Linked DNA regions of Schizosaccharomyces pombe. The gene in region 1 interacts genetically with each later gene. Each region holds a gene or a part of one and is shown on either strand. Other genes may lie near its edges. The genes, in order: prp10, spf31, uri1 and iss9.

Region 1 (6,215 bases):
GCTCAACCCAAGGTATTGATTTCTTTGCTTCCTGCTCCGTTTTCTTATTCCTTGGAGCAAAGAAAGACATTTTTTTTAAATTAGTATACACGAGATATCGCAAGTAAAAAAAAAAAACACTGACGGTACCTACTACGAAATGGTAGTAAGCAATGCTTGTTCTTGCTTACATACTAGGATAACGTATTGTAACGATTTGTACCATAAACACATTGAGTCGCGCTAATAATGCGTTCTATATTAATGAAAATGTTGGAAGCAAATATTATCGTAACATTAAATGTAAACAAGATTAGTTATGTAATTCGATAACAAAAGCATATGAATGTATGATCAAAAGTTAGGTAGTGATGACAGATGGTCTGGCAGCTTCTGTGTTCACTTGAGCATTCTTTCCAATGGGCGCTGTAGATACATTACTTGTCATGGTTTTGGGCTGAACGAATGCTTGGAATTGAAGGAGAAGAGTCGAAAATCGTGAAGAAAAGTCATATTTTTCATCCAACGGTATGTCGCTTAATTTAACAAGCAAAGTAAAAAGTGAATACAACTTGGTTGATTCTAATAGTTCAGAATTTATTGCGCTGAAATTCTCAATCATCTCCAATATTTGGTGCACATGAGACATATCCGATTCTTGAGGATAATGATTATATGACAGTAGGATTTCTTGTAGTTGGTAGCGGTAATATAAAAGAGTATTAAATCGAATATAATGAACTTGAGCATACATATCTACAGTACTTATAGGCTGAGCCAATTGATATTCAAGTGAAAATTTTGGTAATTCCTCTAAAGAACCGGCAAACCTTACTCTTTTTTTGGCTGTTTTCTTGGGAGAAGGAATTGGAGATGGGGATTTCTGAGCGTTGTCTGTAGCCATCCTAACTCGAGCTGACCTACGTGAAGGTCGTTGCTTCGATGTTTGAGAAATTTCTGCCGACGATTTCTCATTTTTTAACCTTTTACCCCCGTCAATTTTAGGTGTGGCTTCTATCTTTTCCTTTTTTGGTTTCTCGATGGGCTTTTGAAGTTTTTTACGAGTATTCTCTGGTTCAAACTCATCCTCTTCGACATCAGAAAAAGAAACTTTTCTCTTTACGGAAGCAATGATGAGACCTACCGTCTTTTGGATATACTTTGTCGATAAATCATGGTCCAAAATAAACCTTGATTCATCAACAGTTAAGGGCAAAACATTTGAAGAAGAAATAATAGCGTAATCTCTTGAAGGAAGAAACTGAACAAATATTCCATTGTCCATTCGAAAATTTCGTTTCAATCGTTCGCGTACCTCAGTGGGTATTGATTTTTGGCTCGCTACTCTGGCTGGCCACCATGGGAAGCTACTCATCTTTGCTAAAACATATTCCCCATTTTTATATGATTTCCTTGGTGACGTCCTCGGAACATACGCTAATTGTTTACCTTTCTTTTTAACATCACGCAGATTTTTCGTATTAGAAGTCTGTTGCCCGGTGGCCTTTTTTTTTGTTTTAATCTTCTTCTGGTTATTAATCTCTTCAAGCTTTCTTTTTTGACTGCGTGTCCTAGCAACCATCATCGTTAATTACATTCCTTATAAGCCAAACTTCACATTAAAGCGATATAGTGCTGAATTTTTCCAAAGAGATTTTACATCAATTTGTAAAGGTTCCACCAAATATTAGGATATACAAGTAGAAACCGTAAGACGCTTGTCTATTATCAATTAATTGCAGCAACGCTTACAAGATCTACAATAGCAGAGGGGGGGGGTGCTAAAAGCTTGAGCTGTTGCAATATGATACCTCGATATTTCAATATCATTCCTCATACTAATTTTTTCGATAGTATATATTTCTTTCGCAAATAAATCTTAATAAAGAGGGTTAAACTAAATAAGACACGTTAATCTTATCGTTATTCTACAAAACGAGTTACTGTATTGTACTTTAAAATATTGATAACGAAGCTTAGAATGCTTTGAGTATATTTAAATGAGTATAAGACGCGCAACATGAAAGCATTTCTTCGCCATCAACATGTCAACTGGTACGTATCCTTATAAAATGTTCAAAATGGATGTTACTAACCTAAATAAAGTAGAAGATGTGGAAATAGAAAGGCTTCGTGCTGAAAGAGAACTTTTGCGAAGACAAAAAGAGGCAGCGAAGAATTCGTCGACAAATGGAAGTGTAAATATTGAAGGTACCCAGGATTCTAATGATTTACAATATAATGCTCATCTTTTTAAGTCCAGTAACCCAAAAGAAGAATATGACTCCGCAATTGACGTGCGCAATGATATCTCTCAGGATGAAGACGATTATAAACGTACAAACGATGTTAATGATAGTTATCGTTTAGTGCGTCAATATGAAGCACCTAAGGAACTACTAAATGAATACGCTGATGAAAGTTATGACCCTATGCAAGAGAGACAGTCAAAAAAGCAAATTCAGGATCGCGAGTCAGATTATCAAAAGCAGCGTTATGATAGACAGCTTACTCCAACCCGCGTAGATGCTTTTCAACCTGATGGGACACAGAGCAATGGAAGATCTTATGCGGAGGTTATGCGGCAGGTTGAATTAGAAAAGGAAGAGCGACGAGTTCATATGGAATTAAATCAAAGACGTCGTGAAGGAACACTAAAAGAGGTGGAGGAGGAGGAAAGCATATCGGACAAAAAAAGAGAACTAGAGCTTAATAATACGGAAATATCTCAGAAGCCTAAACGCTCTCGTTGGGATCAGGCTCCACCTAGCGTTACGCAGGTTTCCACTACTAAGCGTAGATCACGTTGGGACAAAGCTCCTGAAAACTTCACTATATCTGAACATGTTATAGAAAACGGAATTTCTGAAGATCTTATTAATAAGGAAGTAAATGTAGTAGAAGAAAAATTACGACCTCCTGTCCGTTTATTAACTGAAGAAGAGTTAAATGAGCTTTTGCCGTCAGAAGGCTATGCTATTTTGGAGCCTCCTCCTGGATATTTAGAATCAATTCATCCTGAACTACTTCAAAAAGGTACTACGCTCGATACATATCACGTTCCACAAGAGCAAGAGCTTCCTTTAGAAAAAGAATTACCAGCTGCATTGCCTACAGAAATACCCGGTGTAGGTGATTTAGCTTTTTTTAAGCAAGAAGATGTTAAATATTTTGGCAAGTTACTCAAGGTGGAGGACGAGGCCAAGCTTACAATTGCGGAACTTCGTGAACGTAAAATTTTGAGATTACTTCTGAAAGTAAAAAATGGTACTCCTCCCATGCGTAAGAGTGCATTACGCCAGCTTACGGATCAAGCTCGCGACTTTGGTGCAGCTGCTTTATTTAATCAGATTCTTCCGTTGTTAATGGAACGAACACTGGAAGATCAGGAGCGCCATCTTTTAGTTAAGGTTATTGATCGTATATTATACAAATTGGATGATCTGGTTCGCCCTTTTACTCATAAAATTCTCGTAGTTATTGAACCCCTTCTTATTGATGAAGATTACTATGCACGTGCTGAAGGTCGGGAAATCATTAGTAACTTAGCTAAAGCTTCCGGCTTGGCTCATATGATTGCTACAATGAGACCTGACATTGATCATGTCGACGAATATGTCCGAAACACCACAGCCCGTGCCTTTTCGGTTGTTGCCTCTGCACTAGGCGTGCCGGCTCTTTTACCTTTTTTAAAAGCTGTTTGTAGAAGTAAGAAATCATGGCAAGCCAGGCATACTGGCGTTCGGATTATTCAACAGATTGCTCTGTTATTAGGATGCTCTATTTTACCACACTTAAAAAATTTAGTTGATTGTATTGGTCACGGCCTTGAAGATGAACAACAAAAAGTACGAATTATGACAGCTTTGTCCTTATCGGCTTTAGCTGAAGCTGCTACTCCTTACGGTATTGAAGCTTTTGACAGCGTTTTAAAGCCATTATGGTCAGGAGTCCAAAGGCATCGTGGTAAAAGCTTAGCCGCCTTTTTAAAAGCAACCGGTTTTATTATCCCTCTTATGGAACCTGAGTATGCAAGTCATTTTACACGGCGTATCATGAAAATTCTTCTACGTGAATTTAATTCACCAGACGAAGAAATGAAAAAGATAGTTCTCAAAGTTGTATCACAATGTGCATCTACTGATGGAGTAACACCTGAGTATTTGAGAACTGATGTGTTGCCTGAATTTTTTCACTGTTTTTGGTCCCGAAGGATGGCATCAGATCGTCGCAGCTACAAGCAAGTTGTTGAAACTACAGTTGTTCTTGCTCAACAAGTAGGTTCCCGTCAAATTGTTGAAAGGGTCGTCAACAACTTTAAAGATGAATCCGAGCCATATCGGAAGATGACCGCTGAAACTGTCGATAAAGTGATTGGCTCTTTAGGTGTTTCCGAGATTGACGAAAGATTGGAAGAGCTACTGTTGGATGGTGTTTTATTTGCTTTTCAGGAGCAATCCGTTGAGGAGAAAGTTATTTTAACTTGCTTTAGTACTGTTGTTAATGCTCTTGGTACAAGATGTAAGCCGTATCTTCCTCAGATCGTTTCTACTATATTGTATCGTTTAAACAATAAGTCTGCTAATGTCCGCGAACAAGCTGCCGACTTAGTTTCCAGTATAACCATTGTTTTAAAGGCATGTGGTGAAGAAGCATTAATGCGTAAACTTGGTGTTGTTTTGTACGAGTATCTTGGTGAAGAATATCCAGAGGTTCTGGGCTCAATTCTTGGTGCTATTAAAGCTATTGTTTCCGTTGTTGGTATGTCTTCAATGCAACCTCCTATTCGTGATTTGTTACCAAGATTGACTCCCATCTTGAGGAACCGTCATGAAAAGGTCCAAGAGAATACAATTGATCTCGTTGGCAAAATTGCAGATCGTGGATCGGAATACGTGTCCGCTAGGGAATGGATGCGTATTTGTTTTGAATTAATTGATATGCTTAAAGCACATAAAAAGAGTATTCGCCGTGCTGCTGTCAACACATTTGGTTATATATCAAAAGCCATCGGACCTCAAGACGTGCTGGCTACTTTGTTAAATAATCTCAAAGTCCAGGAACGCCAAAATCGTGTATGTACTACTGTAGCTATTGCTATCGTGGCAGAAACATGTATGCCTTTTACAGTCGTACCAGCACTTATGGCAGACTACAGAACTCCAGAAATGAACGTGCAGAATGGTGTTTTAAAGTCATTAGCGTTTATGTTTGAATACATTGGTGAGCAAGCACGCGACTATGTTTATGCCATTACACCTCTTTTAGCCGATGCGCTTATGGATCGCGATGCCGTGCATCGGCAAACCGCCGCTTCTGTAATCAAGCACTTGTCTCTTGGTTGTGTTGGTTTGGGTGTTGAAGACGCAATGATTCATTTACTTAATATCCTATGGCCAAATATCTTGGAGGAATCGCCCCATGTTATCAATGCCGTTCGGGAAGGCATTGATGGCATCCGAAATTGTATCGGTGTAGGTCCAATTATGGCATATTTAGTACAAGGATTATTTCATCCGAGTCGTAAAGTTCGTAACACTTATTGGACAAGCTACAATTCTGCTTATGTACAAAGTGCAGATGCTATGGTACCATACTATCCCCACGTTGATGACGATCAATTCAACAACTACGATATGAAAACTTTACATATTTGCATCTAAGTACCCTTTTTGTTAATTATTAAAAAATATTCATTATAATAGTACATGAAAACATTTGTGATAGTACTTGTATACATGTCTCAGCTTCATGTTAATAACTTTGGTTTCAACAGAGCATCGCAAATTACTTGACGCGGTTTGCAAATGCTACATAAATAAATTTCGGACTAAGTGTAGTAATTAAAGGAAAGCTATGGGGAAATGTTAAAAGGAACGTACGCATATAACCATGCCGTTTGAAAAATACGAGCGTTCTAAAATTTATTTAGAAGGAGACTCCCATGCCCAACCAAACAATGAGTAATAAATTTAAAGCAGTCAAAAAGAGCCAAATTGCCCATGTAACAATAGTCATAGTCCATCCTAAGCTATAATCGTGAGTTTCTCTTATCAATTGTCCAGTTTCTTCATTGGTAGAATCACTAACAACACGCATAACTTTTCGAGAGCAAGTGAACATTACAAGTGGAAAGGTAAGAAAAGGTAATAAAATAGAAAGACAAACCTGACTAGCGTTCAGTACTTGATTAAGACCACTCTGTCCAACAGCAGCCGAAACAACTAAGCATGGGA
Region 2 (3,635 bases), on another chromosome or scaffold:
ATAAACGAGTATATGCAATCTGCTATGTTAAATTATTTGAATAAATCCTTCAATTCCTATTATCATGCTGCGCGCTGTTTCCTTCTCCTGGGACAATTCCTTAGTTGTTTACCAGCTCCAAAAGTGGACGATGCTGCTAACTGGAATGCAGGTTTGCTTTATTCTAAGAGATTGGGTCCTGTAGGAAGAGCAATGATCTTTCAACAAACTCACACTCTCTTTAAATCCCTTTCTTATTTAAAAACTGAATCTACGGACCCGTTCTCTAATAAGCGAACTCGTAAAGCCGCACTTTGGTGTGTATTAACTGCCGATGCTTGGTTGAGATGTCGCATTCCCTTTCGTGCCAAGCCTTTTGTAGAGGAAGCAAAATTGTTTTATGGAAAAATCGATTGGAAGGATTTGAAGGAGTGTGTTGCAGCACTTGACGAAGTCGAAGTCTCCAAACAACCTGCTTCTAATATTCCTTCTAGCTAGAAATGCCCCACTTTCAAAATGTATATTATTTTATTTACCAAATATCAAAATTTCTACAGGTTATTAATGTGATTATATATAGCGAAATAAACTAATAAGTTAATCTGATAATGAAAATTCGTTAAAACGAATCCAACGAAAATTAATGATTAGGACTGTGGTCCATCGGATCCCGTTTGTGAATTGGTAAGGTCAATAGTAAGAGGGGGACTAACTGAAGTGGCAGGAAAACCGTTAGATGTAGAAGGTTCGGTGGAAGATTCAACAGCAGTGTTCCTCAATGAATCATTTTTGTTAGTTGTTGATTGTTTTGCACGGTTGATGAGATCAGCAAAATCCTCAGCGTATGCCTTCTCCCAATCGCCCCCTCCTAGTTTTTCTTTTTCTACTCCAATTGATTTCGACTGAACGCGCTCCCAATCTATAAGTTGGCGAATTAAATTTCTTTTTGAAACAGGTTGTTTCTGGTCTAAATTAGAATTGTAAAGGGTAACCCATTTAGCATGTCGACGTTGTAATAGTTGTTTATGTCCATCGGTTGGAAGCCCCATCTCTGATAATTTGGAACGAATTTTTGATTCGGAAAGGAGTGCATAAGTTAGTTTGGGAAGCCGCACTCGATCTTTCAAGGGTAGTTCATCTGCAGAGTTAAACGACCTTAACCTGCGCTTCGTGATAGAATCATCATCTGTTTTGAATGATAGTAATGAATTAGATTTACTATTATCCTTATTTTTATAAGGTGAGGAAGAGGAAGACGGGGAAGAAGGTGAGTTAAGACAAGAATCCAAGTGTTGATTAATTTGATTATGAGGAACTAAATTTGAACATGCAGGGCAGTGAACTAAATCCTCACGTTTCCTCTTTTTAGAATCCCTAGATGTCTTTTTAGCTATAGAAGCAGGAGATGAATTTGAAGCCAAGTCGTCTTCCCATTCCTCATCGCCAGAAGCTGAATCCTGTGCGATAACTGTTTCAGGAGCTTGAAGTACTGGCTTTGGCACATTTTCTACTTTTAAGAATTCAAACAATGTTGGCCTGATCACTTTAAAGGACTCTAAAATCTCTTCTAATATAGTGTTTTTTCTTAAGCGGCTTTCTTGCTCAGGAGCACGACAAGCAGGGCACATAGGATGTTCTCTCAGATAATCGCGTATACAAAACGAACAAAAGGTGTGTGAGCAAGAAGTAATTAAGGGGGCGCGAAAGTATTCATGACAAATCAGACATCGTAAAGAAGAATCCAAGCCCTTCAACGATGGTATTTTCGTTTGGTTCCAATCAGATGGATCTGTAGCATCTAGTTCATTCATCTTATTTTAAATTGCAAACCCATTAATAGTTAATATGCACTAATATTCAAACTTAATTAGGGATTCGTAAGAGCACTCTCGGACGGTAAATTTTTAAACCTTAGACACATCGATATGTAAATGAATATGTATATTCATATACATTATTACATTTAAAGAACAAATGTAAAGAACCTGTTTCTAAACGTACTTACAGATTCTTACCCTCGATACCAGAAGTTGGCGAATGCAAAACCTAACTCACCACCAAATTTATCTATAAAGGATTTTTGAAATTTGCACTCTTGTAATTTCAATTTTGGGGCTCGGTCAGAAATGGCAGACGTTGCAAAGTTTTTAGATCGAGTTGAAGGAAGTTTAAACAGAGTAAGTTTTAGCATTTTATTGACATTGCATGTGAAGATTTCTAGATGTACCTTAGTAGGTTGATTCGATTTATCTTATTCTCAGAATTTTTTTTTTTTTTGTTTATACAGATTATATACTACAATGAAACAATAGAATAACTTTGCCTATGCGTATATTACTTGCTAATCAAACAAAGTCGATGAATTCTAACCTTTACTTAGGGACGTGAGATTGACAGAATATTGTCTTCCTTTAAATTAAATGCATATGATGTTCTTGATATTTTGCCAGGAATGAGTGTTGATGATATTCGAAATTTGTACAGGAAAAAATCATTAATGATTCATCCAGACAAAAATCGCGATAACCCAAAAGCTGCAGACGCATTCGACATTTTAAAAAAGGCGGAGTCTGATCTAGTTAATGATAAGATTCGGGAATCTCTTGATTCGGCTTACACAGCTGCAAGGAACCAACTATTGAAAGAAAAAAAATTGTCTCCAAATTCGGAAGACGTCCATTCAGACCAGTTTTTATTTGATTTAAAAGTACGTTGGCGTGAAATCCTTATTGCAGATGAAGTTGCAAGAAGACGAGCACGGCAGCTCGATTTAGCAAACCAGCAAAGAGAACAAGCGCGTCAAGATGAAATTGCAAGAGAACGAAAGCGTCGTGTAGAATCAGAAAAGGTTTGGGAAGAGACAAGAGATAATCGTGTGGGAAATTGGCAGGATTTCCTTCACAAAACGAAGAAAAATAACTTAAAAAAGAAGAATAAAAAACCAAGGGTTCTTGGATAAAAGACGAAGTTACGCGTTTTATTGTACATTAAAGCTTCGACGACTTAACCTCTTTTAGTATTTGTACATGACCTATGCGATTGAAATGATTTAATATGAAGTTTTCAACAATTTATAAATTGAAATTTCTTTTCATGCTACGTGAGCAGATTACCATTAAGTAAACTAATCAACAAATTCTACTGAAATTTGCTTTTCGACAGTGATATGTATCAGTATCGTAATAGAATTAATATGAATGCCGTTTAACCATGGTAACTGCTTTGTATATTTACAGCGTTCTATGGCATATATTCCTAATGGGTGCATGTAAAGAAAGAGAATGATTGCCCTACCCACTGTCGAATAAACAACAAACTAAAGATGTTTGTATGTACAAGGCTTTTTGGAGGAAAAAGTCCTTAAAGAGAGAATAAGACCAAGAGCTTCCTTTTTTTCCTGGCATAGCATTAAAGCGCACCAACTGAAGAAACAAGCATCATCCTAACGTGCATCCCATTATGAGTTCGTATACCAAGTTAAAAAAAAGAGGGCAGAATAACACTAAAATTACTAATTATGTCTTGATCATATGTTTAAAAGAGATAAAAAGAAATAAGAATAAAGAAAAAACGCGACCATCATTATATATGTAAGTGAAAAGGGGCAGCGATTTAAATAAAGAAGAGAGAGGACTGTAAAACATGGTTACTGTGCT
Region 3 (4,625 bases), on another chromosome or scaffold:
GCTTTACCAGAGCTGGACAAGGATTTATTAAAATTCGTTTGGGTCGTGGATTTTCCTCTTTTCTCACCAACCGAAGAGAAAAATCAATCTATTACATCTACACATCACCCATTTACTGCTCCTCATTGGGATGATGTACATTTACTGGAAAAAAAGCCTCTTTCTGTTCGTGGACTTCATTATGATATAGTCGTGAATGGTATTGAATTAGGGGGTGGCAGTATTCGCATACACAATCCAGATATTCAAAGATTTGTGCTTAAAGACGTGCTTAAATTACCAGAGAATAGGTATGCTACATTTGAGCATTTAATACGCGTATTGTCTAGTGGCTGTCCACCGCATGGTGGAATTGCATTGGGTTTTGACAGGCTGGCTGCGCTGTTGACGAATGCTCCAGGAATTCGCGAGGTCATTGCTTTTCCGAAAACCTCTTCGGGTGCTGATCTTTTAATTGGCAGCCCGTCTGCTATTCCAGAAGAGATGTTGAAAGACTACAACGTTGCTATTACGCGACAAACTCAAAACCGTAATTAGATAACTTAAGCAAAAACATTAATCATTTAATTTTTTTTATACAAAATTTTAATCTAATGCTCATAAATGGGAACACGACCACGCAACCTCGCGGTCATAAATCGGCTCATTTTAGGTTTTTCATTTCCATTCTCATCCAAAGGTATAACTGCCTGTTCTTCTTCATCCTTAATATATTCACCTGTATTATCTATCATTTTTTTTCTCAGTTCGTAGTAACGTTGTGATATAGCTCGTTGATCACTAATTTCCTCGACTTTCGCATCGAATGCTTCTTTAGACTCGCTAATTTTGTCAGATGGAGTTCGTTCAACTACAAAATCTTTTACTACAGATGGTTCATTTAAATATTCCTTGGAAGTTTCCGAGCTTTTTTCTTTAGGCGGTGCTTTAAGCTCGGATTCTACAGTAGATTTGTCTTCTTCTTTTGGATTTAACTTTGTATTCGCAGCCCGATTATTTAATGTGTTACTCAAATCATCGTTCTTGATTGTACATGTGGCATTAGAATGGTTGCCCTCTTCGTTTTCCTTTGCGCGCAATTTGCTCCTTGCTTTACGAAACGCTGAAATACGACTCTGAAAATCGTCTGGTCCAAAAAGATTATCGTATTCTTCAGTTGGAGCAGGTATAACTTCAATATTCGCCTTTCCACTCCGACTGACGTGTTTAATTTCCAGCGTGTCTGAAAAATGTACCTTTCGAGGATTTTTTGACGAAAGCTCTTCTTGTTCAACGATTTGTGGAAAGTCACTGACATTTAGGCTCTCGTCATTACCATTGACATAAGTTGTAGCACCAGTCTTTTCTGTAAAATATTGAGGATCCGGTGGAGCTTTCAGTTCCTTGGAAAATCCTATCGTCATACCATGTTCATCTTCCTCAGACTCAGAATTATCATCTAATTCGCCTTCCTCCTCCATTTCCTGAATGAGAGCCTCCATATCTTCTAAAGAGTCTAAACCGTCGTATTGTACTGCTTCCAAAACATTTTGTCCTTGCGCAGTCGTCGGAACTGGTAGTAACATCGGTTCTTCTTCGACAATTTTATTGTCGGCATTATCTGGTTCTTCTATACTACTACTTCTAGTTTCGTTTATAGAATGAATAGATTCATTTCCTAGTGAAAGCTTTTCACTAGATGTAGCATGATCTTTGTTGCCAGATTTTTTTGTTTCTAGCTTAGCTTGTTTAAATTTTGAAAGACGCTTAGGTCGTTTTTTATGTTTAGACGTGCTAGTGTTATTATCTTTATTAGATTCCCCAGTATCTTGGGCCTTCGCTGTCGGATGCTCTAACACAATGTCTCGTAAAACTTCATTTTGGGTATCTTGATGTCCATTTTCATTTAAAGTAGAGTTATTGAGAGCATTCAATATCGTTTCTTTATTTTTTTCAATAGCAGAAGCGTTTGACTTTATATTTGAAGTAGTTCTGTTTTGCATTGCATTATTTTTTTTGAAAAGAAAACCCTTTTTAAACAAAGAAGTCTTGCTACCATTTTTAATTTGTTGAACCATATCTGAATCACTCAATGAAGCAGCCTGACTATTACTAATAGGACTCTCATATGTTTTACTGTCTGAATGATCACCATGTTTGCTGGGAAATTCTGAGACACCAAGTGTTGGAGTTGAAGTAAATTCAGTATTAGAAGGTAATGAGCCCATTTCTGGAGCTTTGTAGTTAATATTTTTCGTAGAATCGTTAATTTCTTCTTCAGATAGCTCTTCAATTCTCGAAGATGTATCACGGTTCCCCCCATTTTCAATATTTTTGAAACCAGGAAGGGATCGAAAGACATCCGCATAATCTATTACAGATGAAATTCTTTGTGGAGCAACAGAAGCACTTATAATATTTCCATCTTTATCAACTTCTTCATGAATATCCATAACAGGTAACCCTTCTGAGTTTCTTACTATCAACTCGGATTTCTTCTTTTCAATTGAAGATGCTAAGTCATTATTGTAATTTCCCAAAAGTAAATGAATATGATTTAAGACTGGATTTTCATTAGCAATTAGTCGTTTGATGAAGCAAACATTATCACTCAATTTATAAGAAAAAGTAACGTACAATCCACATGGGATGCTGTTTCACATCCTTCAACTTTTCCATCTTCCTTACAGTAACGGATCGCCCTACCGACTGATTCAGAAATTTCGCTAATCTTAGAGAAGATTTGCTGTTCAAAATTGATGGCTACTAGTCTTTCGTCGTTCATTCGATAAGTTGTTTTAAAGGATCTTAAATAGAGTTATTGAAGAATTTCTAATTCAAAATAATCTCACGCCAACGATCGTTTCGTGGTTATTCCGGAAAAAGGCATATACAGCTTATTCGGGCAAGCTAATATTCACTTTAAAAACGAGATAATAAGTAATTCTAATAAATTTTAAATACTTTTAGTATTTAAATAACAGGGTAACTAATATAATATCGAAAAATCGATGTTAATGGAAATGGCTCAAACTGAGTAGGAAGCCACCGACCTGACCCTAATGTACGTAGAAAGCGCCATACTGCAAATGTCCTAAGCATCTAGTAATTTGGTCCCTTACTTTAAATTTTAATATTTTCTCACTGAAAATAATTTAAGTAAAAGCAAATGCATGTCTTAATCCTATAGGTCCAACAGTTTAAGCAAGTATAAAACATAATTTGAACATTAATGGGGGACTATTTTGCCTGGGATTTTGCAAATATCTCTGGGAGTAATACTTCTGGCTCCTTAAATTTAAATCAGTTGAACTGTAAGCGCTAGCAATGATGGTTGAGTTATAAATCATTCTGAACATCCCAAGCGTAAAATAGCTAACGGATTTTTCTAGTGGACAACATAAATAATGGTTTGCATAATCAGGAGGATGGAGCTGGAGGAAGGAATGAAAATTCTGAAAGAGTTGGAAGCGGGAGTCCTGGAAGTGTTTCCATGCAGGTTTTGTCTCTCTTCAGTGCTGTAAACTCAGCTTTGGCTACTTTGGAAAAATCAGAGGAATTCCCTTCTGTAGTTAAGGATGAACAGTCAATTTTTCCTGCTGTAGCAAAGGCGTCTAATTCGTTGGACGAGCTGGCCCAAAACATAATTCCTGCTCCTTCTCCTCCTGGGTTTAATAGAAAAAGAAAAACCTTTGATGAAGACAGTTCTGTAGAGATGATCCGAAGAGCCATATCAGATCATTTGGATTTACTGAACAATTGTTGTATTGGCATTGCTAATTTGAATGAGGACAGTGTGCACAAAATTTCACTTACACGTTCAGGGAAACCTAGTCAGCTGGTAACAGTTTCGTGTCGACATTCCTCTGTCATACAAAAGTCTTATGGGTCAGAGAAACGTTACCTATGTCCACCCCCTATGGTTTATATTAATGGGAATTACTCTTCTATATTCAATCAGTCTTTTCGCACTGAGATATCAATAATGAATGATTTTGGGCAATGTTCGCAACCCATCAGCGAAGAATACACTGGCCAAGGATGTATGATTTTTCGGTCACTGCATATATCGAGTTTGGTCGCTGCGAAATCTAAAAACTTACGGCTTTCTCTGGACATGTTCTCGAATGTAAATAACCAATTGTTATCTCATTTGGTTACTTCTTCTATTAGTATTGTCTCCAAACCTTCGAAAAAAGGAAGCAAACTAAAAATTAGTAATATTACGTTGCGATCCGGTTCAGTCGTCAGCCTTTATAACCGGATTAATTCACAAACTGTACGTACAAAGTATACATCGATTGAGGCTGGTCAGTTTTGTCTTCGCGGTGATAGATGGGTGCCATTGCGTATTAACCTGCTATTACCAGATGAAAATGGTAAACTGAAGGTATGCGACGATGTCGATAACCCAGAACCCATTAAATATGGCTCCATCGTTGAATTGGTCGATGAAGCAACAGGAACGACGAGTGACCCTTTAATTATTCGACGAGTAGAAAAAGACCACATTGCTGAGGAGGACGGTTACGTTAATCAAATGCATAGAATTGTATTAGAAAGCGCATATCCCATATCAAACGTACGGCATCTTAAGATCGCTGAGCATAGTTCACTGGCATATTCCAATAATATTTCAGTCCGTT
Region 4 (3,750 bases), on another chromosome or scaffold:
CCACCTCTCAATAAGCAAAATTTCCCTCACAATATAGAATTTGAGACCGCTGACTTCTTGCGCTGGGAATCGAAACGAAAATTCAAAATAATACTAGCATTATCCGTATCTAAATGGGTGCATCTAAATAACCACGATGAAGGAATCATTAAATTCTTTGGGAAGATTAGTTCTTTATTGGAAACGAATGGTGTTCTTATTTTAGAACCTCAAGGATGGGACTCGTACTTGAAAGCTGCAAAAAAAATATCTGTAAGTCACGACTATCAATACTTCTAACTCTTACTTTTCTAGGTTTTTAATCAAACACCTGAGAACCTCAAAATCCAACCTGATGCGTTTGAACATTTGCTTAATCAAGCAGGACTAGTGCTTGAATACAGTATCGAACCTCAAGTAAATAACTCTGAGTACAAGAATTTTGCCAAACGAACAATGTATATCTATAAAAAAAAAGGAATTGGAATCATAAAACTATTAACTTCTACTTAATTGTCTAGTAAAACGTTAAGAATAGACAATGACTGGAACTATAAAGCATAATGTCCCAAAAGGACGTGTCTCATTTTTTATTAAATTCTCTAATTCAACATATGAGGAAAGAAAGAAAAGCGGAATGAAGTAGTTTTATTATTAGATTTGGCCTTTAATATCAACCACAGCATGCTTTTTCATGCATTTTTCGAATCTATCCGTGCTTTCTTTCATCAGTATGCGATTGGGATCTTTTGAATCGTATACAGCATTACAACTCCTAAAAAAGTTTACACAATCTTCCATTTCTTCAAATGCTAGTGTGTTAGCCAAAAATTCCATTGTAAGAGAAGGGCGATATGCTTTGCACATCATTATCATCGCCTGCACTCGTTCTCTCTCAATAAAAAGATCCATCAAATAACCTCCCATGTTGGGAGCGACTAAATATAGATGGAAAAATTTATAGTAATCGCCAGTAGCCATCGCCGAACGGACTTCTAATGCATGTGTAACAGCAGCGTTTGTTTTGTCTTCTTCTTTTAGATTGGCGAGAAGGCTATTCATTTCTATAAATTGTTAATAATTTGAATTCAAAAGATATATTCTTTTAAGCAGTAAGCCGTAATTAACTTACCAGATCGATTTTTAGTGAAGAGCATATACAGAATACGATATGCTAAAAATTCCTTAGTATTCCCTGGTATACCAAAACTGTAAAGATGAAATAATTGAGTTTGACATTGGTTATACTCGCCAACATCACCCTAGTCGAACGTTAGAAGAAGAAATGATATTTTAAAGTAATTAACCGTACCTTTTCAAGAGCTATACGAGCATGTATTTCGTAAACTAATACAGAAAACTCATTTTGAATCCTTTGCACAGTTAAATCCTGTCTTAAACTTTTAAATTGATCGCATATATATGCATAGTTTTTCTCTTCTTTCCATTTCTTCTTTAAAAGTTCGAGAGTTTGCTTAAGAACTGGAAGGGGTCGAACAGTATCCGGATCAGGAGCCGAAGTTAATCGCAAATACCTTTTCTCTAATTCTGTGGACCGTCCTATAATAGCACCATTCTCCGGGTTGACTTTTAGCTCTTCAGATTTAGCGTTATTTTGAGAACGAGAACCATTTTCAAACCTTCTTCTTCTTTTTTCTTTCTTATCCACTTCATCTTCTTCACTTAAAAGTGAAAATTGATTTCCAGAAACAGGCTTCTCAACCTTTCTTTTTTTATCTTCGATGATTGTATTTTGAGCATTTGTCAGTTTCCTTAGGGATTCTAAATTCATAGAAGACCAATCAACATTCCATATGTTTCCCATTTCGTATTGACGAGAAATTAGCAATTTTACTTCATCCTCTAATTCTGGCTGGCTGTTTTCCTCAGCGTCTTGGATGCATCTACCAATAAATTCTTTCAAAGAGTCCGGCCAAGGGCTATGATGTTCTTTTTTCATATTTAATATTTTTCATTGAGCTATATGATTAATGCTAAAGTTAAGTACTTTTCTCAACTTCCTCAATTGCTAAAGTGGTGAGTACCGAGATTGTATGAGAAGTGCGAGTCCGTCAGCTTAACCCTGTCAGTAACGTTGTAAGTCGATTTCATTATCCAACCTTTCAATCAATAAGGATTAATTTATTACTATTCAGTTGATCGTTCATCATTTTTTCCTTTAAAAATTTAAAAAGTCATCAAATAATTCAACGGTTCCACCTAAACTTGTTTGTTCGCTTAAAATTTATGAAACCAACATGGAAAGTAGTTAATATTAACTCACGCTATTCACGCATATTTTATTCTGTATGCCTCATATAGCCTTGATTAAACTACTAAAAGAGAGTAATATACCGAATTATCAAGCCTAAAACACTACCTCCCAATAAAGCAATCGTAATTCATTATTAAATAAAAAAAAATTTGAAGACTGCTTCGAAAGTTTTGTAGTAATATCTTGAAGAATGTAGGTCTAAATTCTAAGCTTTTGGTGACATTATTTAAGATAACTAGCAACCGGAATGATTAAGCAAGAGTCATATTAAATAAGTACGGAATATAAACACCAAATTCAGTGGTGCATCAAGTAGATAGATTTTATATTTTTGAAACAGCTGGTAGTATTAGCAGCATTAAAAACATCGTTTAAATGTCTCTGTATTAAACACCATATTGACATAAAACAAACTAAGCGTTCACCACTATTATGATATTATGAATGATTACATGATTTCAATAATTAATAATCAAAATTAAATGATAAAAGTTTTATTAAATATATTCATTTTCTCATGGAGCGACAACAGATTATAGAGTCTTTACGCAGAATAATTCCCACTGAAAGTACAGAATATAATGAACGGCTTATTAGTTTAGGAGAGTCATTTTTGGAATGGTCCAAATATAAACATAATCTAAAGGCGACAGAAGAGTTATGCCGTCCTTATATGGCAGCGCACTTAGCTTGTGAACTGTAAGTAACTTCTGATGTTTAATTACTCTACTTGAACTTGTTCTGACTCTTTAAAAAGATTATCCAATGATTTAAATTTGGAAATAAATTTACTAGCGACTCCAATTCCAAAAAAGAAATACTATAAACTTTTCACTTACTTTCAAGAAATCTTATCTCCATTAACTAAATCCTTAGCAGCTAAAGATGATCTGATGGAAACCATTACTTATCTTTGTACCAAACTAGGGGGCTCAACTGCTATACCTTATGTTAAACAATTGGTGAAAGCCGTTGTTACAAACGACATGCGCATCGAACACAAAAGAGGCATCATAATCGCAGCTTATTTACTAGTATCGGCAAAAGCTTTTGGAAAAGACGAACTTCATATAAATCACACCGAGAGAAGAAAGGCACAGAGTGTTTTACAGGATACAAGTTCTGCATTGCAAATTCAGTATTGGATGCATGTCCTCTCAGAAAGTTGGCAGTATAAAGAAATCCCTTTAAATGGTATAGAGGGTTATGAATCTCAAAAGCAACGGATAAAACCTTGGAGTGGGATAGCAAGCATGATTCAAATAGATTACGAAAAACGACTTCAAAATTATCCAATATGGAAGGCCTGCATTGAAGAAAGAATCCAATATTACAAAAGCCAGCTTGAAAAAGATGGTACTGCTTCATGAATACAATTTACTATATTAATTTTTTTTTGTACATTAAACAACATTTATAAACGGGTACACGATATCTTTAGTGATATATACAAATACATGAGTAAAAAAAAGTTAAATTAGACTCTAAGCTTTACT

What was found.
Region 2: mutations in prp10 (region 1) and spf31 together harm fitness more than expected from each alone (negative genetic interaction), as found in Schizosaccharomyces pombe (one large-scale study listed by BioGRID).
Region 3: mutations in prp10 (region 1) and uri1 together harm fitness less than expected from each alone (positive genetic interaction), as found in Schizosaccharomyces pombe (one large-scale study listed by BioGRID).
Region 4: mutations in prp10 (region 1) and iss9 together harm fitness more than expected from each alone (negative genetic interaction), as found in Schizosaccharomyces pombe (one large-scale study listed by BioGRID).

What each region holds. Positions count from the first base shown.
Region 1 is NC_003424.3:4,332,597-4,338,811, reverse strand, and holds prp10 (U2 snRNP-associated protein SF3B1), read left to right. Parts: upstream 1-2,007; 5' UTR 2,008-2,024; coding exon 2,025-2,034; intron 2,035-2,085; coding exon 2,086-2,190; exon of another isoform or gene 2,191-2,256; coding exon 2,257-5,642; 3' UTR 5,643-5,677; downstream 5,678-6,215. Other genes in the region: DNA replication factor C complex subunit Rfc2, read right to left, coding at 1-70; pdp3 (PWWP domain-containing protein), read right to left, coding at 341-1,564; pdt1 (Nramp family Mn(2+) transporter), read right to left, coding at 5,908-6,215. UniProt on the Schizosaccharomyces pombe protein: Contacts pre-mRNA on both sides of the branch site early in spliceosome assembly.
Region 2 is NC_003423.3:1,068,413-1,072,047, reverse strand, and holds spf31 (DNAJ protein Spf31), read left to right. Parts: upstream 1-2,011; 5' UTR 2,012-2,105; coding exon 2,106-2,156; intron 2,157-2,279; exon of another isoform or gene 2,280-2,359; coding exon 2,360-2,938; 3' UTR 2,939-3,087; downstream 3,088-3,635. Other genes in the region: TRAPP III complex subunit Trs8502, read left to right, coding at 1-477; rhp18 (postreplication repair E3 ubiquitin-protein ligase), read right to left, coding at 627-1,790.
Region 3 is NC_003421.2:324,331-328,955, forward strand, and holds uri1 (prefoldin-like protein), read right to left. Parts: upstream 2,765-4,625; coding exon 2,617-2,764; intron 2,543-2,616; coding exon 591-2,542; 3' UTR 538-590; downstream 1-537. Other genes in the region: dar2 (aspartate--tRNA (Asp) ligase), read left to right, coding at 1-537; DNA-binding transcription factor, CBF1/Su(H)/LAG-1 family Cbf11, read left to right, coding at 3,212-3,293, 3,372-4,625.
Region 4 is NC_003423.3:2,964,584-2,968,333, forward strand, and holds iss9 (nuclear export factor), read right to left. Parts: upstream 2,026-3,750; 5' UTR 1,940-2,025; coding exon 1,292-1,939; exon of another isoform or gene 1,242-1,291; coding exon 1,112-1,241; intron 1,044-1,111; coding exon 634-1,043; 3' UTR 522-633; downstream 1-521. Other genes in the region: bmc1 (Bin3 family regulator), read left to right, coding at 1-252, 295-492; origin recognition complex subunit Orc6, read left to right, coding at 2,772-2,953, 3,012-3,624; protein ess1, read right to left, coding at 3,739-3,750. UniProt on the Schizosaccharomyces pombe protein: Required for transcription elongation. May also be involved in pre-mRNA splicing.